Sus scrofa: one gene and its partner. The protein of the gene in region 1 binds, or shares a complex with, the protein of each later gene. Links are inferred from orthologs where the notes say so. Each region holds a gene or a part of one and is shown in the gene's direction. Other genes may lie near its edges. The genes, in order: EIF3G and EIF3E.

The links.
Region 2: EIF3G (region 1) and EIF3E share a complex: the UniProt entries of both Homo sapiens proteins name them as parts of the eukaryotic translation initiation factor 3 (eIF-3) complex. The link is inferred for Sus scrofa from reciprocal best matches to the Homo sapiens genes EIF3G and EIF3E.

What each region holds. Positions count from the first base shown.
Region 1 is NC_010444.4:68,962,471-68,975,000, reverse strand, and holds EIF3G (eukaryotic translation initiation factor 3 subunit G), read left to right. Parts: upstream 1-4,352; 5' UTR 4,353-4,445; coding exon 4,446-4,465; intron 4,466-4,605; coding exon 4,606-4,652; intron 4,653-5,195; coding exon 5,196-5,279; intron 5,280-5,387; coding exon 5,388-5,476; intron 5,477-5,636; coding exon 5,637-5,696; intron 5,697-6,689; coding exon 6,690-6,794; intron 6,795-6,893; coding exon 6,894-7,083; intron 7,084-7,783; coding exon 7,784-7,891; intron 7,892-8,000; coding exon 8,001-8,137; intron 8,138-8,220; coding exon 8,221-8,327; intron 8,328-8,665; coding exon 8,666-8,681; 3' UTR 8,682-8,780; downstream 8,781-12,530. Other genes in the region: P2RY11 (P2Y purinoceptor 11), read right to left, coding at 9,083-10,188, 11,969-11,996; PPAN (suppressor of SWI4 1 homolog), read right to left, coding at 12,510-12,530. UniProt on the Homo sapiens protein: RNA-binding component of the eukaryotic translation initiation factor 3 (eIF-3) complex, which is required for several steps in the initiation of protein synthesis.
Region 2 is NC_010446.5:29,337,264-29,348,717, forward strand, and holds the end of EIF3E (eukaryotic translation initiation factor 3 subunit E), read left to right. Parts: intron 1-3,907; coding exon 3,908-4,010; intron 4,011-4,300; coding exon 4,301-4,435; intron 4,436-6,149; coding exon 6,150-6,188; 3' UTR 6,189-6,330; downstream 6,331-11,454. UniProt on the Homo sapiens protein: Component of the eukaryotic translation initiation factor 3 (eIF-3) complex, which is required for several steps in the initiation of protein synthesis.

The sequences.
Region 1 (12,530 bases):
GTGTAGGCCGGCAGCTAAGCTCTGATTCAACCTCTAGCCTGGGAATGTCCATATGCCATGGGTGCCAGCCATTTAAAAAAAAAAAAAAAAGTTCCTATAGCATATGTCATTTTCTAGCTTGTTTACTCTCATCTTAGACATTTATTTATTTATTGTCTTTTTAGGGCCGCACCCATGGCATATGGACCTTCCCAGGCTAGGGATATAATTGGAGCAGCAGCTGCTGGCCTACACCACAGCCACAGCAATGCAGGAGTTTTAACCCACTGAGTGAGGCCAGGGATCAAACCGCGCATCCTTATAGATATTATTCGGGTTCTTAACCCACCAAGCCAAAATGGGAACTCCAAGATATATATTTTTTTAACATGTCCCACAAATGGATCTATTTCCTTAAAGACTGCATAGCACTTATATTGATGACAGAATAGCATAACTTGCTCTATTCAACCAACCTGGAATGGACAGATAGGCATTGCCAGTTTTTGCTATCATGAACAATACTGCCTGGATAGCTTATTCTCATATCTTTGTGTGTATTTACAAGTTTTTCTCACAGGCTGAATTATTAGCTGACTCAAAGGAAAATATATATGTGCATTTAAGTTTTAGTAGATATTGTCAACATTCCATCTAAGAGTTTACATAACCTCACATACTAAGAAAATATGGGAGAGTCTTTTTCTCTACATCTTTGCTACCATTGGGTAATAGCAATTTTTTACAGTTTTGCCCATCTGCTCCATTGTTTGGATTTTGTATTTCTTGGAGTAAACTTGAGTGAGGTTGCACAAATGTTTATTGGCCCTTTGTACAAACTTTGCATTTTTATCTGGGCTGCTAGACCACCCTCTTTCTTTTTTTTTTTTTTTTTTTTTTTTTTTTTGGTCTTTTTGCTATTTCTTGGGCCGCTCCCACGGCATATGGAGATTCCCAGGCTAGGGGTCCAATCGGAGTTGTAGCCACCGGCCTACACCAGAGCCACAGCAACACGGGATCCGAGCCGCGTCTGCAACCTACACCACAGCTCATGGCAACGCCGGATCGTTAAACCCACTGAGCAGGGGCAGGGATCGAACCCACAACCTCATGGTTCCTAGTCGGATTCATTAACCACTGCGCCACGACAGGAACTCCTTTTTTTTTCACCCTCTTTCTTTCACTCATTTTCCCAGCCTCCTTCCTGGTCTCCTACTTATTTATTCCTTTCCATTCTATTCTCTACATGCTTCCAGAATAATCTTTCTCATAAGAAAATCTGATTACATTGGTCACCACTCAAAATATGTCAGTGACCATACAGCCTGCAGGGTAAAGAGCCTATCCTCCTTAACCTGATTTAAAAATTCTTTTAGGAGTTCCCTGGTGGCCTAGTAGTTTAGGATCTGGCACTGTCACTGCTGTGGCTCTAGTCACTACTGTGGTATGAGCTCAATCCCTGGCCTGGGAACTTCCAAATGCCACAGATGAGGCCAAAAAAAAGTTATTTATAATCTGGTTCCTGTCCCATCCCAAATGTCCATTAATTGAACACATACTAAGTACAGACACCCCATGGGTGTTGGGGACCCAGAGATGACCCAAATAGGCAAATGTCTGCTTTCTGCAGCTGGCATTCGTGAGCAGTTTTTCTCAACTATTTTTTCATTATTGCTCCTTTCTAGGTGAGAAATGGAATTATCCTTAATTAATTAATTTTGTCTTTTTAGGGCCACACATGCAGCATATGGAGGTTCCCAGGGTAGGGGTGGAATTGGAGCTATAGCTGCTGGCCTATGCCACAGCAACATGGGATCTGAGATGGGTCTGCAACCTACACCACAGTTCATGGCAACATCAGGTCCTTAACCCATTGTGCAAGGCTACGGATCCAATCTGCATCCTCATGGATGGGAGTCAGTTTTGTTGTTTTTTAATTTATTTAATTTATTTATTTGTCCTTTGTCTTTTTAGAGCTGTACCTGTGGCATATGGAGGTTCCCAGGCTAAGGGTCTAATCAGAGCTACAGTTGCTGGCCTACGCCAGAGCCACAGCAACACCAGATCTGAGCTGTATCTGCAACCTGTACCACAGCTCACGGTAACACCGGATCCTTAACCCACTGAGCAAGGCCAGGGATTGAACCCACAACCTCATGGTTCCTAGTCGGATTTGTTTCCGCTGCACCATGATGGGAACTCCTGGATGGGAGTCAGTTTCGTTTCCACTGAGCCACAACTGAACTCCTATCCTTAATTTAAATCAATTTAATCTAATTACATTTAATTTTCCCCTAACAATAGAAATTAAATATTCATAAGTAATATTTTGTCCTGGAGGGTTGGCTTAGGAGGGCTATAAGCCATCACAATGTCTAAGGTTTTTTTTTAAGCCATCTAAGAATTTATTTTGGCTCTCTTGGGAGCCATATCACTCCCGTTGAGAATGCTCTAGGGGGACAGCTGGATTATAAACAAGTAAATGGAAAAGATTATATTAGAGAAGCCAAGAATGTTACTAAAGGAGGGAGGGATTTTCCCCAGTGGCTCAGTGGCTTAAGGATTTGGTGTTGTCACTGCTGTAACTCTGGTCACTGCTGTGGCACAGGTTCCATCCCTGGCCTGAGAACTGCCAAAAAAAGAAACAAACAAAAAAAGATGGAGTTCCCATAGTGGCTCAGCCATAAGGAACCCAACTAATATCCATGAGGATGTGGGTTCAATCCCTGGCCTAACTCACTGGGTTAAGGATTCAGTGTTGCTGTGAGCTGTGGTGTAGGTCGCAGATGAAGCTCAGATATGGCGTTGCTGTGGCTGTGGTGTAGGCCAGCAGCTGTAGCTCCGATGAGACCCCCTAGCCTAGGAACCTCCATATGCTGCAGGTGCAGCTCTAAAAGGAAAAAAAGGAAAGGAGGGAGAATGGTTGAAGGGGCCACTTGACTGCTTGATCATTTTGAATCAGGAAAGCTCTTCCATCGCTTCTCGGCCTTTTGGCTAAGATCAAGTGTAGGAAAGCTCTTCCCAAACAAGGAAGACTAGCTTTGGTTTCTTCAGCTGTAAAATGGAAATAATTTTCTCTCCACAGTTCTCGCAGAATTCAATAACTGAGCTTTATTGCTATTAATAACTTTTTTTTGTCTTTTTAGGGTCGCATCCACCACCATGCAACATACGGAGATTTTAGGGCCTAACCCACACCCGTGGCAAATGGAGTTTCCCAGGCTAGGGACTGAATCATGGCTGTAGCTGCTGGCCTACGCCACAGCCACAGTAACACAGGATCTGAGCCTCGTCTGTGACCTACACCACAGCTCAGAGCAACGCTGCATCCTTAACCCACTGATCAAGGCCAGGGATCAAACCTGCATCCTCATGGATTCTAGTCAGATTCATTTCCACTGAGCCATGATGGGAACTCCTGTTATTAATAACTTTAAATTTTTTAAAAGGTAAATGAATTAGAAAACTATATATAGAACTACCATATGACCCAGCAATCCAACTCTTGGGCACATATCCAGAGAAAACTGTCCTTGAAAAAGATACATGCGCCCATATGTTCATTGCAGCACTATTTGCAATAGCCAAGACTTGGAAACAACCTAGATGTCCATCGACAGATATGGATTAAGAAGATGTGGTATATATACACAATGGAATACTACTCGGCCATAAAAAAGAACAAAATAATGCCATTTGCAGCAACATGGATGGAACTAGAGACTCTCATACCAAGTGAAATAAGTCAGAAAGAGAAAGACACATACTCTACAATATCCCTTGTATCTGGAATCTAATATATGGCACAAATGAAAGTTTCCACAGAAAAGAAAATCATGGACATGGAGAACAGACTGGGGTTACCAAGGGGGAGGGGGAGGGAGTGGAATGTACTGGGAACTTGGAGTTAATAGATGCAATCTATTGCCTTTGGAATGGATAAGCAATGAGATTCTGCTGTACAGCACTGGGAACTATATCTAGTCACTTATGATGGAGCATGATAATGTGAGAAAAAAGAATGTATACATGTATGTGTGACTGGGTCACCTCGTTGTACAGTAGAAAATTGACATAACACTATAAACCAGCTATAATGGAAAAAATAAAAATCATTAATTAAAAAAAGAAGATAAATGAGTTCTTGCTGTGGTGTTGCTGGTTAAGGACCTGGACTTGCTACAGCTGTGACATTGGTCACAGCAGCGGCTGGGATTTGATACCTGACCGGGGAAACTTCCATACGCCACCCGCGGGGCCAAAAAAAAATGGTTAGAACTGCGCCTCTACTCAACTACCTAGTACCAGAGCCCAGCCTCTAATAAGCCAGCGCCTCTACCTCTGTCCACAGGGCGGCACTGTGGGCGCAGCGGCCGGGCTGCTCTAGGCGGCAGAACCGGAAGTCTCGTTCTCCCCACCTTCCGGTCTTTGGCCCAGGCTTGGGCTGCGTGGGGAAGGTTTTAGCTATGCCTACCGGAGACTTTGAGTGAGTATGAGGTCGTGGAGGGGGGCTTGGGAGGCAGATTGGGGGTCCTAGGGCGTATTATGGGGCTCGGGTGCCCCGAGGCCGTGGGATCCGGGCCTCGTCTCACCCAGCCTTCCCCCGCGGCAAACTTGTCCCCGCAGTTCGAAGCCCAGTTGGGCCGACCAGGTGGAGGAGGAGGGAGAGGACGGTGAGTTTGCCCTGTTGCCCAGGATCACCGCAGCCAGCCCCCAGCCCGTCACTGCCGCCTGCTCCAACCCCACCACCCCGACCCTGGCGCCGTTGTCTGACCCAGAATCTCCCTTCACGGCCAGCCCCTGCCCCGCGCCATCCTCATCAGGCCAGCCTGTATCTCCCATTACAGTTGTTCACCGGCCAGTCCCTCTTCCTCCCATGCCACCGTCAAAGTCCTTGGTACCAGCCTAGCTGCTCCCCTGCTCCGGGGAGGAAGTTGTCACAGCCTCTCTCCTGTCTTTGTACTAGCACGGGGATGCCTTTGGCCCGCCCCTGCCTTCATGCCTGGGATCCTCTATGCCGGGCATTGCTGGAAGTCACTACAGTCAGCTCCATGTCCCTGCACGACTCTCCCAGGACACTTCCTGGCTAGTCCCCTACCCTTGGTCCCACCTTTCTTAGCTCCCGGGAGGGGCATCATCCCAAAGGTCCCTCCATTTCAGCTTGGGAGCTCCCCCACCCCCCAGCTGACCCCAGCTCCCCACACTCCCTCTCACAGACAAATGTGTCACCAGCGAGCTCCTCAAGGGAATCCCTCTGGCCACCGGGGATACCAGCCCGGAGCCTGAACTACTACCGGGAGGTGAGTGACAACCTCCCCGCCATCCCTGGGTTGCCTCTTCCCCTGCAGAGTTCCTGCCTGGTCCCCAGTACCCAGGGCTCAGTTCCTCTGTCTCTCCCCCTCTCCCAGCTCCACTGCCACCTCCCAAGGAGGTCATCAATGGAAACATCAAGACAGTGACCGAGTACAAGATAGATGAGGACGGCAAGAAATTCAAGGTGAAGGTTGGGGGAGGAGGTAGATGCCCTTTGCTTGGGGGCTCTTGGACTAGGAGAAAGTGGTGTGTGCTGGGTGGGTTGATGAGGAAGATACCCTGGCCCAGGCCCTCGGAACCTTAAGGAGCAGGAAGCTCAAATTTCTCCCCTCTCCTACCCACAGATTGTCCGCACCTTCAGAATTGAGACTCGGAAGGCCTCAAAGGCTGTGGCAAGGAGGAAGGTAAGACCCTCCTCATCCTGTCTTGGGGCCTCCCCCAGGGCTGACTCAGAGAAAATAAGAATCCTTTTCCCCAGTGCCTGTATTTATTTGGCTATGCCCGGGGCATATGGAAGTTCCCGGTTTACGGGTTGAATCAGAGCTGCAGCTGCCAGCTTACACCACAGCTACAGCGACTCGTGATCGTAGCCACACCTGTGACCTAACCCACAGCTCAGGGCGATGCCGTGTCCTTAACCCACTGCGCAAGGCTGGGAATCGAAGCCATGGATACTGCTGAGCCATAATGGGAACTCCTTAACTGTACCAATTTTGTTGGAGCGGAACTGAGGCCTAAGGGTGTTTGCACTCTGTCGGGGTCCTGAAAAGCCCAGCATGTGCAGGAGTAGGGGGGGTTGTCCGCCAGCAGAAACAAAGCCAAGTCCTCCCCTGAGATGGTCGTAGCAGAAAAAGTCATGGCAGTAAATACATTTGGCACAATTACCTGTGCGCTTTCTCTGCGTTAGACCCAAGCTCTTTGCAGGAAGCGTTTTCCCATTCAGTTCCCCTGGAATTCCAGGGAGGTGGGGGTCCATTGGGGTCCCTTTTCCTGGAGGAGGCAGCTAGGGTTCAGATTGCTTAGCTAGCTCTGGGCCCCTGGAAGTCTGGGTGACCCCTACGCACCCTTGAGCATCACTCCCTGGTAGGAGCTGGTCCGCTACCTGCACCACCCCAGCAGGAGTTGTTGGCTGTGGAGGGGATTGTCCCTGAGCCTCAGTCCTCTAATCTGGAGCATGGAGCCTAGAGCTGCCCTTGCCTCTGGAACTGGTGTGAAGCTAGGGCCTGGCATGCGCTCAGGGAACAGGAACTGTCTTTGTCACTGCTCTGAGGGTCATTTGGGGGAGGCTGGAGAATGGGGTTCAAGGCCCTGGAGCAGACATTGTAAGTCTAGGGAGCCAGCAGAGGGGTCCTGCTTGGCCTTGCTCTGACTTGTCTCTCATCCCACCCTGAGCTCAGAACTGGAAGAAGTTTGGGAACTCAGAGTTCGACCCACCAGGGCCCAATGTGGCCACCACCACGGTCAGTGATGATGTGTCCATGACATTCATCACCAGCAAAGAGGTAAGTAGGCCAGGAGGCTGGGGCCAGTGGCCAGGGTGGTGGCGGCAGTGGCGGGGGGTGCGGCAGTCCCGTCTGAGCTGCCTCTGCCTGCCCTGCCAGGATCTGAACTGCCAGGAAGAGGAGGACCCAATGAACAAGCTCAAGGGCCAGAAGATCGTGTCCTGCCGAATCTGCAAGGGCGACCACTGGACCACCCGCTGCCCCTACAAGGACACACTGGGGCCCATGCAGAAGGAGCTGGCCGAGCAGCTGGGCCTGTCTACTGGCGAGAAGGAGAAGCTGCCTGGAGGTGCTGGGGCCTGGGGACTCGGGGGACAGGGATTGTGTTCACCTCCAGGAGAGTTGTAGGTTGTCACCTGCTGTCTGAACAGGGCCACCGCTGTTGGCAGTTGTCATCTCCCACACAACAGCAAGGCTGCAGCCACAGTCCATGCTTGTGTGTGTGTATGAGAGAGACTGGCGGTGGCTGCTGTGACTGCTGGCGATGTCCCCTGTCCTCTCCTCATTAGGGGCTGTGAGAGCGGCTCGTGTAGGCTTGCACATAATAAATACACTTTGCCTGCAGTGTCTGCATGCACACACCCAGGGCAGACTCACTCATGTGACTGTAAGTTTGAGTCTGGACAGCTCTACGCCCCTGACTTATGTGTGCGACTCATTTGTCACCTGCCGTGTGTGTGTTGGGGGACAGGGGGTGGAACCTGGGGACTGTCCCTATCCCGTGTACCTGTATTTGTGTTCCTATGTTGTGAGACTGGGTGTCACTGTGGGTTCTCACTTCTTGTGCTGCTGGCGGGTGTATAAATGACGTCGGCTTCCCGGATGTGACTTTTAAGTTGTGGCCCTCAGGCCTCGAAGGGCCCAACCGTGTGTGTGGTTTGACAGACGGCTCTTGGGCTGGATGGTGGCCAGAGCTGCCGGCATCCTGGGGCAGATGGGTCCCTCCATCTGTGCCGGGAGAGGCTTGACCCGACCTTGTTGTCCTCCAGAGCTGGAGCCTGTGCAGGCCACACAGAACAAGACGGGCAAGTACGTGCCTCCAAGCCTGCGGGACGGGGCCAGCCGCCGCGGGGAGTCCATGCAGCCCAACCGCAGAGGTGAGGGCACCCAGTTGCCGGGCCGGCGGGGGCGGGCACTTCCCTGTATCCTGTGATCATCCCACGGGCAGGCGCGGCCCCTCACAGACACCTCTCCTTGCCCACTCAGCCGATGACAATGCCACCATCCGTGTCACCAACCTGTCTGAGGACACTCGTGAGACCGACCTGCAGGAGCTCTTCCGGCCCTTTGGCTCCATCTCCCGCATCTACCTAGCCAAGGACAAGACCACTGGCCAGTCCAAGGTGGGCTGGTGGCCATGGGGATGGGGAGGGATCCTTGGTCCTGTCTGTGCCCCATGTGCCCCTGACTCCACCCCCTCCTCCAGGGCTTTGCCTTCATTAGCTTCCACCGCCGTGAGGATGCCGCCCGTGCTATTGCTGGGGTGTCTGGCTTCGGTTATGACCACCTCATCCTCAACGTCGAGTGGGCCAAGTAAGACCCCTGCCCCTCCCCCCACACAGCGTCACTGCTGACACTCAGGCTGGCTGCAGGCCCTGCACCAGGTTAACATTCACCATGCCTGTCCTGGGGCACAGATCATTTATTGTCCTTTTCCTCTGGTGTGGAGGGTTGGGGCAGGACCAGGCTGGTCACTGCCGGTCTGTCTCTTTGTGTGTCCTGGGCCACCACCTTGTCTCACTCTGCCCCACCCCCCATCCCTTTTGAGGTCCCTATTGTGTGTGGCGGTGGGGGGTCTTGGGATTCTCTTAGGGGTATGAAGCCTCTCCGCTAACCATTCTCAGCCACCTCACGTCTCTCTCTCTCTCTAGGCCGTCAACCAACTAAGCCAGCTGCTGCTGCTCCGTCCCCAGCCCTGGGATCCTTCAGTGACCGAAGGCTGGGGGCAGGGGTCTCCAAGGGTAATAAAAAATCTCCAGTTGCCCAGTGCTGTTCCATTTATTCACAGATGTCGCTCACACTGTTGGGGGGTGGGGCCATCCTGCCCTCCTTCCTCCCCCTCCCTGATGTGGGTTTATTTCCTGGCCCTGTCCAGAGTTGGTGCTGTGGCAGAAGTTCCTGCCACTCTGGCTTCAGTGCTCCCTGGTCCCACTCTAGACCTTTCTGTGGAGGAGTACGCTTAGGGCCTATTGAGGATTCAGGGCCAGGGGCCTGCTGTGCTCTCAGCCCCTATTCTTTTGCCAGGTCCCAGGATCTGGTGATGAGGAGGGGGCTAGAGATGGTCCAGGTCATGGGCTCAACTCAGGGGACTGGGGCCCTGAGGTTTTGGGAGTAGCTGTGACATTGAGTGGCAGGGATTGGCTGGAGCACTCGGCCTTCTCCGGGGTCTGGCCCTCCCTGCAGCCAAGGCAGTGTTGGCGGCAACAGCCCAGGCTGGGCACCACCGCCATGTAGAGCAGCGGGTGGATGCAGATGGCCAGGGGGATGAGGCCCCGTGTTACCTGGTAGGCCACATATGTCCTCCAGTCCAGTGCCTTCTCAGCCTGGGCTGTGCTTGTGAAGCCTGGGCAGAGGGCCCTCCAGCGCTGCCGGGCATACACGTTGAGCACCTGTGTGACATAGTAGGGCACATAGGAACTAGCATAGAGGGCCACACCACTGGCTACCAGCACTATCACGTGCAGCTTGTTGGCCGCTGTCATGCCGTGGCTACGCCGCACGGCCCGCCCCAGGGCGCCATAGGCTGCCAGGTTGAGCAGCAGCGGCAGGCCACAGCCCAGGGCCAGCAGCACCAGGCCATAGACTCTGTAGGCCTCAAGCTGGTTGTCATCTGCCGTTCCTAGGCACTTGATGCAGGCCTCCGGTGTGGCCACAGTGCACCTGCCTTCCTGCTTCGGCCTCTTCAAGTGGGAGAAGCTGAGTGTGGGTGCAGCCAGCAGGGCTGCCAGCACCCAGCCAGCAGTGCTGATGGCCCAGGCGTGCTTGGGCTGCAGTTGGCTGTGGGTGAAGAAGGGATGGACAATGCCCAGATAGCGGTTGAGGCTGATGCAGGTGATGAAGATGACGCTACCCAGCAGGTTGCAGGTGAAGAGGAAGCGCTCCAGGCGGCAGGTGACCTCCCCATAGCGCCAGTGTTTGGGTGGGTAGAAGTAGGCAGCCAGCGGGGGTAGTGTCAGGGCATAGAGCAGGTCGCTGATGGCCAGTTGGGCGGAGAAGATCACGGCTGGGTGCCATGGGCGCTGCTCCCGTGTGCAGAAGCGGTACAAGGCCAGACTGTTGCCAGCAAGGGCCACCAGGAACTCAGCTACCAGCATGGGCCACAGAAAGTCTTCCTGGAAGCCACTGAGGATGCGGTCAGCAGCCGCTGAGAAGTGGGCTGGACAGTCCTTATCACCTGTGGGCAGAGGGTGTTGCTGAGTGAGCCCTGTCCCTGAACCTGGCACCTGCTCCCTTCAGAGTTCCAAGTGCCTCTGGCACCACATACCTACCACAGACTGGGCCTGCATCAGCCCTATGCGAGCCCAGTTTCACTGAGTGCTTTTTCACACCTGGCAGTGGGCACCAGCCACAGCTCCTTTGTGTGGAGGAAATCGGAGGCCCGGATAGAGGCCTTTCATTCAGCTGATGGTTACCAGGTTCTCTTTGTGTCCCGCACCATCAAGAACCAGCTGGGGAGAGTTCCCATTGTGGCTCAGTGGGTTAAGAACCCGATTAGTGGCCATGAGGATGTGGGTTCGATCCCTAGCTTTGCTCAGTGGGTCAGAGATCCCATTAAGGAGTTCCCGTTGTGGCTCAGTGGAAACAAATTTGACTAGCATCCATGAGGATGCGGGTTCGATCCCTGGCCTCACTCAGTGTGGGTTGAGGATCTGGCGTTGTGATGAGCTGTGATATAGGTTGCAGACGCAGCTTGGATTCTGAGTTGCTGCGGCTGTGGTGTAGGCTGGCAGCTACAGTTCCAATTTGACCCCTAGCCTGAGGGGCTAAAAAGACAAAAAAAAAAAAAAAAAAAAATCAAATCCCGTTAAGATGCAGCTTGGATCCAGTGTTGCCGTGGCTGTGGTATAGGCTGGCAGTTGCACTTCCAATTTGATCCCTAGCCCAGAACTTCCATTTGCCATAGGTATGGCCATTAAAAAAAAAAGAAAAAAAAAAGCTGGGGTGAGAAACCATGGATACATGTAACCTGGTAGTGATGACTCAGAGCTCTCAGATGGAGCCCAGGGGAGTATCCCCTATCCCACCAACTACACAACTCTAAGTGCCATCTGTCAGTAAGTTTCCACCTTTGGAGTCTGTCACCCGCTTAGTGAGTGCCACGGAGTCCAGCTCCCACCATCTACCTGGACCAGCACAGTTGGCTCTGCCTGAGTCTCCCTGCTCCCGCCTTCACCCATCTTCTCTAACAGCCTCCAAAGGGCACCCATGGACACCTGAGTCCATCACATCCCTATGCTCCCAAGCTTCCCAGGCTCCCCCCTCACATGGAGGAGAAACCAGTGCTCACCTCATCTCATGAGGCACTGAAGGAGCTACTTCCTCCCACCCTACTTGCTCTCCTCTCCCTCTCCCCTGACTCAGTCCTTCCCACGCTTGCTCGCTTATGGAACAGCCTGCTTCAGGGCCATTGCCGTGGCTGAGTCACCAGCAACAGACTCGTTAAGGCTGCCCCACCTCACCCCTTCCTGGTCTCTGATCCTGGGAATGGCCATTGTTAGGGAAGTGCCCTAATACTGCAACTGCACCCTGTGGCCCCTTACCCTGCTTATTTTTTCTCTACAGCTTCTATCACCATCAGATTACAAGAATATCCCCCCCTGAGGAGTGGGAAGTGTCCTGCTACTGGCTTCCCAGTGCACAGAACAGCACCTGGGACACAATAGCGTGGGGGAGAATTGGTGCTTTACACACCCGACTCGGCCTCTGCTCTCCAACTGAGAAATAGCCTGTTCCTGGTTGGTCTCGCCACAAGCTCCAGGCGAGAAGCATATATCCGTCCCCTGTGCCAGACAGCTTCCTCTCACTTCTGCATTCCTATCTCATCCCTCCGCCATGGGAGGAAGTCTGTCAAGACGTGATTCTTAACCCATCTCCCCTCCACCTTCCCAGAGCCAGCCACCTCCGCCCCTGGGCATATGCCTGGCTCAACCAACCCAGCAGTGTTTGCTCCTCACCTGAGGTGGTGGCAGCCATGGCGCACATGCTCTGCAGTGCCCTCACTGTGCTACCCTGTCCCTTCCTGAGCTACCAGCAGCACCACTGGCTCCTCCCATTTCCCAGCAGCACCGACAGCCTTAAGAGTGGCTCTGGGCGGGCACCTCACTCCCACCCCCAGTTTCCTTCCTCTTGACACCCACGTCTCTGGAGCTGTCTGCTTGCAGGGTCCTTGGTTTGGTGAGACACTGGGGAGGGGCCTAGAACCCCAAGGCACCTGACCTGGGGTCAAATCTGTCCGTCATCCTAGCCTGTAAAACAGGGGCCCACACTTCCACTGCCCAGGATGGGGAAACACGCCGAGGTTTGGAAAGAAACCTGATTTCAAAAGCAGATGCAGACTCACGAGAAATCGGTTTATTAGAGGGGTAGTTAGGGAAACAGCTCTCCTTTATGAAAGGAAACTGAGGACCGCACCTGAAGGCCCACCACAAGCAGAGCCCAGGGCAGCATCTCTCAGGCCCCAATCTGGGGCATTCCATCTATCACTCGGGCTTGGCTTCAGGCTACTCTTTTAGGTGG
Region 2 (11,454 bases), on another chromosome or scaffold:
AAACTGTCTCCAAACCTCCAGATTAGAGCTGGTTAAACCCTTTTGCATTCACATAGCTCCTTCCATTTTTTTCATCATTACACTTAACATAGCTTATGTATTTGGGGGATTAGGTAATTGTCCCCTACTCCTCAACCCCCAGCTCTAAAGTTTGTAAAGTGGGAAATAGATTATATGTTTTCACTGGCATCTACACAGTTCGTATTTTGTTGAATGAATGACAAGGAAGAAAGAGAATTGATTTGGTTTGGTTAGTGTTTGGTATTCATGAGGAGGACTCGGAGGAGGCTAGAAAGTTAGATTGTAGCTCAATTGTAGAGAACTATGAAAGATAAACTTCACAATTTGAATTTATTATTTTGGTAGAACGGCTCTATTAAAATTTTTTAAAAATTTCTGTGGGTTTTTTTGTCTTTTTAGGGCCACACCCATGGCATATGGAGGTTCTCAGGCTAGGAGTTGAATCTGAGCTGTAGCTGCTGACCTACACCACAGCTCATGGCAATGCTGGATCCTTAACCCACTGAGAAGGCCAGGGATTGAAACTGCATCCTCATGGATGCTAGTCAGATTTCATTTCCACTGAGCCATGATGGGAACTCCTCTATTATTAGTTTTGAATGAAATTTAGGAATAAACTGATAGTTGGGTTTTAGGATTAAGCTGGCAGCTATGTAAAATTGATTTAAGAAGAGACTCAAGAGGCAGGTTAATTAGAAAACTAGGAGACAGTAATGGAACCTGAACTAGGGTAATGACTAGGGTAGGAATCAGACAGTATTTATTAATTACTTCCTGTGTCCTGGGCATTGTGCTAATTCTGGATATATAGCCATGAACAAGGAAGCTATGGTGCGTGCTGTTGGGTTACATATACAGTCCATCATGAAAGCAGATATTTAACAAAACAACTACAGCTTTATGAATGCTCTGAAAAAATAGCAGGCTGTGAAAGCATCAGATGTGTCATGGTTGAGAGAGGTATCTTGGAAGACTGATGAGGGTGCTGTTTTATATGAGACCCATGTAACACATAGCTAAGTGAAGAGAAAGGTGGATGAACCTTTTAAGCAGAAGGCACAGCATGTGCCAAGGCCCTGAGGTGCTTCAAAACCTGGCATGTTTAGTGATTGTAGAGGTTCAGTCTGGCCAGAGGAGAGTCTTTCAAGAGGAGAGTAGCTTGGATCTCAGATCTAGTTAAAGAGATAATTATAGGACTTAATAGTTGGATATAGTTATCAAGAAGAGGAGTCTGATAACTTAGGCTTAAGACTAAGTATTTCATTATAATTTTAATTATGTAAACAACCTCCATAAGTAAGTTTTATGTTGTAATTTTTAAAAATCTTCATAAAACCAGCTATACACAGTAGCCACTAGGAATGTTTCTGTTTTTTAAAAGTATATAGAGATAGTGAAGGTTGAAGTTTTAATATATTTAGTACAAATTTTTTCATTTATCTTTTCAGAGTAAAATGGTCTTGGCCCCACTTTATTTTGTTAAAAAAATTTTTTAGTGGTAATAATTGTCACTTATCTGCTACTTGAAGGCACATCCTACAACTTGGAATGCTGTCCTCAAATCCTGAGAACTTACAGTGGCTGTATGCTTTAGACCTGCTCCTTGTCCAGTGGTGCCAACTTTGTTTTTTTCTTTTCCTTCTCCTTTCCCTTCTTATTTTAATTTCACCTCAGTCCTTTAGGCTTTTCCTAAAACCAAGGTTGCTGCAGTGGCTTAAATGTTGTTTCTTCCAATGTCTAGGACCGCTTTTGTCTTCCACACTGTTTTTCTTATGGTCTCTCAAGCCCACAGGGAAGCTCGGGATGGAGAATCATTCTAAGGGCTTTGCAGGTCCTAATGTAGGCTGTTGCTAGGGTTCAGGAAATCTGAGGAACATGCTTTTCTGGTTGAACAGCTCTGGCCAGGAGAATTCCACCTTCTGTCCACACTTTTTATCCCTCCACCACTTCTGCCTTATTGAAATTGTTCGGCAGTGTCATTCTGCAGCATCATATTTTCCCAGATCTTCTGGTGTTGAGGGAATTGGGGAGGATATGGGGGCTGCATCAAGCCCATGTTGGAAGGGTATGTGAGCAGAGATAATTATGGAGCAGGTTTCAGGCTCTTGAAAACCTGATGCCAGCTCCTTTGAGATCCTTTTCTCCCTTAAGAAGGTCATGCACTTCAGCATTAACATTTGTTTTAATGTTCTGAGATCAAAATTATCTTCCTGTTCTGCTGCTCTTGGAGGGTTAGCATCACAGAAGAGAAGGAAACATACACATCTCTAAAATAAGTCATGCACCAGCAGGAAACATAAGGAGTTTATTGAGGAGCCACAGGAAACACCAGCTGCAAGAATTTTTTACTAATCAAAAAAATTCCTGATTGTTTAAGTAAAATGACTTAATATTTCCCTACTTTTAGTTGTTAAAGTGAAGTGAGATTTGGTTAGAGAACAGTGATAAAGAAAATAAAGTGAAATCAGTTCAGAAATTGCATAGTCAGGGACTCATTTTTCTTTATGTTTGCTAAGACTGTGTACTTACAGCAAAATTGATCGTAAAAATCCAAAGAACAAAATTTGACATGTAAATCCAGGGAGTCTTATGGTTGAGTTGGCTCATACTCATCATCATGTTTTTAACTTCAGGCATATTTTAGAGATAAAATTGAAATGATTATGTCTTCATAGATTTAGTTTGTAATAATTTTATTGTTAGCATTAACTAATTTTTTACATTTTGAATGAAATTCTCCTACCTCTTTGTCAATAAATACATAAAATAAGGATGGCAAAGGTCTATATATATTATTCCCATAAAGGTATTTTTATTAACTTAATTGGTTATTTTTGTGTTGGTTGTTCTGGAATTACATAATTATATGATTGCAGTGTCTTGAATATTTATATTTTAAAATTGGGAATGCTATCAGATCAGGAAATTTTAGCTCGTAATATTCTAAGGAATTAATTTGTTATTGGTATTCTGGCTCTTTTCATTAAACTAGTATTAGCATTAGAAAGCCTGGCAAGTTTGTAAACCTAACGAAGACAAGCAAAAGGGGACAGTTAATGTTTCTGTTTAAACATTTGTATATGCATATACATATATATATTAGCTTCTTAAATACTATACATGCTTACATAGATACTCTTTAATTAGCTGACTGACTGACCTACTAGGCTTGTGCCTGTGTTAGTCCTGATAAGTTAAGCCCTGCAGCAGCCTCTTTTTCTGCCTGATCATAAATTAGAAAATGCAGATGACATCAAAGACATTAGTTCATAGATTTGGGTCTTGGTGTGTCTCATCTTTTTTCCTCCCCTTTCCTTTTCTTATGTTTTCTTTGTATGTTTGTCTGTCTCTTTTCCCTTAAATTCATTGGCCGTTAGGTTATATACTATACAATTCTAGGGAGTGTCTTCAAAATTTATAACACAAACATACATAGCGGCCCTGAGTTTTAGTTATGCTTTTCATTGTATTATAATTGTTACTGATGCTCCCTGTAATTGGTTTAATTTGTATACTCAAATATTTAATATTAAATATTAAACTGATACTCTACATCAGAAGATATTTTTCTTCTTTAGATCATTACTGGTTAAGCACCTGGTAAGTGTAAGATACTTTTCTGGAAGCTAAAAGAATTTCTGTAAATGCAGAATATGGGACACTTCCCTTAAAGATCTTACAATCTGATTGGTGAAATGAGATGGACTGTGAACAGTACAAGATAGTAATAGCACAAACATATGAACAGTAGTTTTAAAAGTCATAATATTTAAGATAAAGTGGCTCTTAAATACCTAAAAGTTTCTATACATAGTATAGGTCAAAGACTATGTATATAAAATAAAGCTTTTAGACTCAGTTAATGTCTTTTTTGTTTTTTAATTAGCATGTTGGCAGATAAACTGAATATGACTCCAGAAGAAGCTGAAAGGTGGATTGTAAATTTGATTAGAAACGCAAGACTGGATGCCAAGATTGATTCGAAATTAGTGAGTATTATGATAGCTTTGCTACATACTAGAGAGATTATTTTATATTTTGGAGGGGGGCTTTCATTAGGAAATCTATTCTTCTCTATTAAGAATTTATTCATGTATAGTAGTTCCTTGAAGGCAACAGCTACCTCCTGTTTTGTGTTATTAGATGAATATTGTCATCTCTCTACAGTTCAGAAAAATATGTGCAGCAGGCAGGTAGTGTTATGGTGTCATACTCATGACTTATGTGGGAAACTCAGTTGTTAACATTACAGGATCAATTTCCCTCTGTCTCATTTTAGGGTCATGTGGTTATGGGTAACAATGCAGTCTCACCCTATCAGCAAGTGATTGAAAAGACCAAAAGCCTTTCATTTAGAAGCCAGATGTTGGCCATGAATATTGAGAAGAAACTGAATCAAAATAGTAGGTCAGAGGTAAGAACCACACCTATTCTGTCTGGGATTTAGCAGTAATGTAACATAATTGTCAAAGGGGCTTCACTTGGAAACAAATTAATATTGGTTGTATCTGATTTTGTATTTGTTTATTGGGGGTATAAACTATTTTGTTTAAGAAATTACTAAACTGAAAAGACAAAAAAAAAAAAAAAAAAAAAAAGAGTTCCCGTCGTGGCGCAGTGGTTAACGAATCCGACTAGGAACCATGAGGTTGCAGGTTCGGTCCCTGCCCTTGCTCAGTGGGTTAAGGATCCTGCGTTGCCCTGAGCTGTGGTGTAGGTTGCAGACGTGGCTTGGATCCCGTGTTGCTGTGGCTCTGGCTTAGGCCAGTGGCTACAGCTCCGATTCAACCCCTAGCCTGGGAACCTCCATATGCTGCGGGAGCAGCCCAAAGAAATAGCAAAAAGACAAAAAAAAAAAAAAAAAAAGAAATTATAAACTGAAAAGAATTTCTCTTAGATATATTATGCATTAATCGAGGAAGGTAAAAAATGTGTTCGTAGTTTATTATATTTTTTTCCTTTACTTGTGTGCCTTCATTAACTCATTTCCTCGGTGTTTTCAGCACATTGTTTTGATACTGGCAAATGGTAATTTACATGTGTTGATCTCTTTCAAGTACTTGAAATTTGTGGTCCTTTTAAATCTAAAGAACTTCTTTGGAAGTGTTGACCTTATTATATCTGTTAACATTGATCTTATAGAATTTGATTTTTATCTGATATTCATATTTAACTGTCAGAAAAATATATCCCCCTTTTTGATAGAAATTTTGCATATTAGATATTAAAGGAATTTGAATGGCCTTGTTAAAAAGACAGAAGAATTAAGAAATTGTCCTTGCCTATTACAACCAAGTCTAGAATGATTGAACCTGAAAAATAACTTTTATACAATGGGTTTTTTTCCTACATGCTTATGGATCAGTCTATATTGATTTTCGTTATGGTATTGATGATACTGTCATTGTTATACTTTATAATTGGTCAAAAACTGTTCCAGGGTTTTTTTAAATTTATTTTATTGAAATATAGTTGATTTACAATCTTGTGTTAGTTTCTGATGTACAACAGAGTAATTCAGTTCTTTATGGATATACATGTGTATGTATGTGTATATGTACATACATACTCTTTTCCATATTCTTTTCCATTATGGTTTGTTACAGTATATTGAATATAGTCCCCTTTGCTATACAATAGGCCCTTATGTTTATTCTATATGTAATAATTTGCATCTGCTAATTCCAAACTCCTAATCTATTCCTCCCCACTCCTCTGCCCTTGGCAACCACAAGTCTGTTCTCTATGTCTGTGAGTCTCTTTTTGTTTCATAGATAAGTTCGTTTGTGTCATATTTTAGATTCCACACATAAGAGATATCATGTGGTATTTGTCTTTCTCTTTCTGACTTACTTGGTATGATAATCTTTAGGTCCACCCATGTTGCTTCACATAGCATTATTTCATTCTTTTTTATGGGTGAATAATATTCTGTTATATACCTAATCAGATGGTATTTTGATGTGTTTGTTTTGCTCTAAGTGAGACACCTCACATTTAGTAATTCCAGGATTTGTTAAAATCTTAAAGAATGTTGTAGAAGTAATGCTGAAAAAATGCTAGTGTCACTTTTTTCTAAGGTAGCTTTTCAGAAAATATTTTTCACTCTGTTTCTCTTTGTATTTTAGGCTCCTAACTGGGCAACTCAGGACTCTGGCTTTTATTGAAGATCTGTAAAGAAAAATGAAAAAAAACTGTAAAAGAAAGATGAAATAATAAAGCCATTATATAAAGGTGAAGCATTTTAGAAACAACATACTGATTATAAATTTTGGAGATTTTGAATAAAATTGGCTGTGTTTCATTTTATTTCCTTGTGTATGTAAGTGTTTGCTTTTTATTTTTAATTTTTTTAATTTTTTTGGTCCTGCATGCAGCAGTTTGATATGGATTAAACCCCAGCCACAGTGGTGAAAGTACAGAATCCTAACCACTAGCCCACTAGGGAACTCCTCAGTGTGTGCTTTTTTTACCTTTTCATTTTGGAATAATTATAGATTCACAGGAAGTTACAAAAATAGTACAGAGAGGTCCTATGCAACCTAAACCTAGTTCGTTTTTAATGTCAAAACTAGGATATTGACATTGGTACAGTGGTGTGAATAGCTCTGTGCCATTTGAGCATTTTTTTGTGTAACCATCACTGCAGTCAAGATATAGAGGTATCATCCTCATAAAGGTCTCCCTTATGCTACTACCCCTTTGGAGTCACATCCACTCCCTCCAGCTCTAACCTCTGGCAACCATCAGTCTGTTTTCTGTCTCAATAATTTTGTCATTATGTAGATGTTAATAGCAATGGAACCATACAACATGTAACTTCTTTGAGATTAGTTTTTTCTGCTCATGATACCCTTGAGATCTGTTCAAGTTAGATATATATGTATTCAAGTTATATATATATAAAACTATTCAAGTTATATATATATCAAGTTATATAACTATTCAAGTTGTATATGTATCAATAGTTTGTTCCTTTTTATTGCTAAGTTGTATTCCATGGTATTGATGTAACACATTGTTTAAATCCATGTACCTATTTTGGGAAATTTTGGTTGTTTGCAGATTGGAGCTAATAACAAATAAGCCTGCTGATAAAGTGCTGTTAGTTGAAGTGGCTTCTGCAGTCACTCTCTAGACAGCTACAGAGACTTAAATAGGATTATAAGTTGAATTTTAGAAATACCTCTCCTTGAATATCATACACACACACACACACACACACACACACACACACACACACACACACAGTTAACTGGCCACCTGTGATATTTAAGAAGTACATAAAGCCCTGGTTGGCTCTGCTTTACTTAGAAGTGATTTGATTTTCACTTCGATTGTTAAACTAAAACTCAGTCACATAAGAGAATTTTCTGTTTCTGCTCTCAAGGAATGGTACAAAGATAAAAAGATACTTGCATATTGTACCTGATCAGGCCACCCTCAATATACAGTTAAGTTTGAAGAAGGCAGGCCAGATTTGGGCTTTGTGCTGAGGTTTCAGACCTCTAGTCTGTAGTATTGGTTCTTCCAAACTATAACACAAAGATGCTGAAGCTAGGGGGGAGACTGCTGATCAAGGTATGCCAAATGCTAATTTTTGATTCATCTATAACTAGTGTTGTGAAAATGCCAAATCTAGAGGATGACTTGTATTACAAAATGATCAAGATTCATAGAGAAAATGTACCAAAATGTGGCATAGATAGAAACATACCCTTCTTTTTTTTTTTAAATAAGGAAAATTTCTTGAATTTCGTGTCATTCTTGCTCAGGGGCCATGCTAATCTTCTCTGTATCATTCCAATTTTAGTATATGTGCTGCCGAAGCAAGCATAAAACAGACGCTTCGCCTCATTGTAGGAGCTAATTCCCTGGGTCAAAAGTACAGATCTATAAGAAATGGAGCAATAGTTACATAAAACTGTATAAAATTGTATGTATTACTCAGGCTGTGTTAAAGTGGGAAGAATGTTAAAATGCCAATGTTTCTGTCTACCAATGACCCAAGGGCAAAATGTTCTTAAAGTCATCATTAATAGTCACTTTTTATCTTAAGACTTTTGCTCAACCAAGCCATGTTAATAGCAAAGATTTCTAGGTGATTATATCACCAGTAGTTAAAAGCAAGTCTGGCAGTTACTAGAAGTGTCTTAGAGGATGAGTAAAATCTGCAGGGAAAAAAGATAGGATGCTAATTCTAAGCATTTACTATGTGTCAGGCATTTTTACATCACTTTTTAATTTTTTTATTATTTTTATTTTTTCTTTTATAGTTGATTTACAATGTTCTGTCAATTTCTGCTGTACAGCAAGGTGACCCAGTCATGCATAGATATAGACATTCTTTTTCTCATATTATCCTCCATCATGTTCCATCACAAGTGACTAGATATAGTTCCCTGTGCCTTACAGCAGGATGTCATTGCTTATCCACTCCAAATACATCTATATATCTGAACAACCCTAAGGAAAAGAAAAGGAATGCAACATTTGAGTGCCACTGTAATTTTTGTGCTGATATTTGTATATTGATTAGGAAACACACAGGTGGTTACTCAGGGTCATACCTAGTAAATGTTAAAGCAAGGAATTGAAAACAGGCCTTTTCAGTTACACCATGTCTCCTTAGATCATTATTGCCTTATAAATCAATCCAGACTAAATTTACAAAGGGTTTAAAGAATATATGTTTAGTAGATTATAAATGAGGATCTTGATCCAGAAAACTATTCAAGTCCCTTGGCACCATTATCTTCAAATGAGAGGAAAGGGTGTTTTCATGTGTGTGTGTGTGTGTGTGTGTGTGTATAAAACTCCTGTGTAAAGATTTTAAACATACCTACTTAACCAAAATCTCCTTACTTAACCAAAATCTCCTCAGCTTAAGAAATTGAATGTTCGAAGTAACTCTGAAGAGCTCATGGGGCCCTCTCTGATTGTATTTTCCTTTGCCCCTGAGAAGTTAACCATTACCATTACCATGATTTTTATGGTATATGATATATATATATATATATATATATATATATGTATTTCCTTAAATTTCTTGGTAAGGAACACACACCATTAAGAAAAGTAAGGATATTAACACATTCCTATCAAAAATGTCTGGTTTTATGTATTTCAACATGTGTAGTTAATTGATAATACTTTGTATTCTGTGGCTTGCTTTGTCAATACTGAAATTTACCCATATTGATTTATTCTTGTTGGTATATTCAGCTCTAGTCTATTCGTTTTTAACTGCTTTCTAGTATCCCATTTTCTGAACGTACGTATTTCATTCAAGCATTGATAAACACAAGGTGTTTTCCAGCTTGTTATCTGGTGTTTTTGGAACCAGCCTGACGATCATGTGTTGCCTAACTGGAAGGTTAAATTCATTTCCTTTTATTGTGATTATGAATGTATATGGACTTATTTCTACATCTTATGAGCTTTCTGTATGTACCGCTTTGGCTCTTTTCCACCCTATTTTTTGCCTTCTGTTTTTTGGTTTTTTTTTTCTTTCTTCTACTAGTTGAGCAACTGAACGTTCTCTTTTTATAGTGGTCACCCTAGAAACTTTAGCCCTGTGTATTTTAGGGCATTCCAGTTATGATTGAGCGGTAACGAACCCAACTAGTATCCATAAGGACGCGGGGTTCAATCCCTGGCCTGGCTCAGTGGGGTAAGGATCCGGTGTAGCTGGCTTGGATCCTGTATGGCTGTGGCCGGCTGCTGTAACTCCAGTTCAACCCCCTAGCCTGGGAACTTCCATATGCTGCACGTGTGGCCCTAAAAAGCAAAACAAAAAAACATGTATTTTGGAACTTAATGCCTTAAAATTAGTATCTTTGGCCCCTGCCAACAATATGAAGAAAGCTTTTACTGTAGTTATCTTTCTCAGTTGTGTTCATCATCTTTCCTAATATAATCTTTTACTTTTATAAATTAGATATTATTTTAGACAATAATACCCTTTCTCTTGTTTATTCTCTTTGTAATTAGACTTTTTTTGTAAGTTGCTTTTAGGATCTCCTTTTCATTGGTGTACTATAGTTTTGCAGTGATGTGTCTCAGTGTGAATTTTATTTACTGGTAGTTACTCATTGGACCTCCTGATTCTGAAAATGCCTTTTGTCTTGTGTGAAAATTATCTCTTTGGATATTTTTTTCTTGATTCCTTAAGTTTTTGAGTTCTCACTCCAGAAAAACCTTCCCTTTCATATTTTTTATCTCTGTCATCTGTGCTGCATTGGGGTTTGGATAATTTCTTCAGCTCTGTCTTGTAACTCATTAATGATCTCTCCAACTGTGTCTAATTTGCTGTTAAATACATTCAGTTTCTTTTTTCAATGATTTTCTTCATCTTTGGTAGTGTCTTATACTTTCAATGCCCACTTGTATTCTTTAAATTTATTTCATATTTTGTGTTTTGAATCTACCTACTTCTCTGCCACTATTCTTGTCCAATATCCATCACTTAAATCAAAACAGTAGCTTCTGAATCACTTTCCCTGTAACTGATGTAGACCCCCCTTTCAGTCTCACCTGTTTTCTATATTTTAGAGTAACCATTTTCAATTTAAATCGGATTGTTTTCCGTCCCTGATTATAATTCTACAGTGGCTCCCCATTGTTCTTAGCCTAGAGACAGAATCCTTTACCTGGCCTTCATTATCTGCTTGCTGCATCAGCCCCATTATATCCCAGCCTCAAGCCCCACTGGCCTCTCAGTCCTTTAAAAAGTAGCTTCAAGCTATTTTGACTGCTGCAGACTAAGAAAAACATTTTACATCATGACCTAATACTATAAAGAGTAAATATATGATGCAAATATTTTATAAAACTGTATACCCTTTCAATATGTAATCTATCTTTTTCTATTCTTTTTTTTTTGTTTCATACATCTAGTTGGTATCAATTCATATTTGAAAAATACTCCCTAAAGAGCAGCAGTCTTTTTTATATCATTATGTGCCAGAAGCACACATGTACTTCAGTGTTTATTTTTCCTCCAGAACTCAACTCATATATCAAAGTACGTTTTCTTTTTCAAGGAAAGTTTCCATGAGTCTCAGACTAGGCTAGATTCTTCTCTTAGTCTCTTGTATTATTTATCCCACTTCTAGTTACACTAATTTCATAATTAGTTGGTTAATATCCACTCTAGACTGCCATTTTCATTTTTTTTTAATGGCTGTATCTATCTTGTTCATTGCTGAACGTAATGCCTGGCTTATATTAGGCCCTTGATAAATTAGTGAACAAATGAATGAATCTTTTTCAGAATGGTACAGTATAAAAAATTGTGCACTTGGAAGGAGAAAGTTTAATAAAAGAACCTGTTTCGAAATTAAGTCTTCCACAGCCCTTCTCCATAAGTTCATAGTTGATGTCTAAGACACAAACACAACAATATAATTTGTTAAGTATTAGTGTATGTGA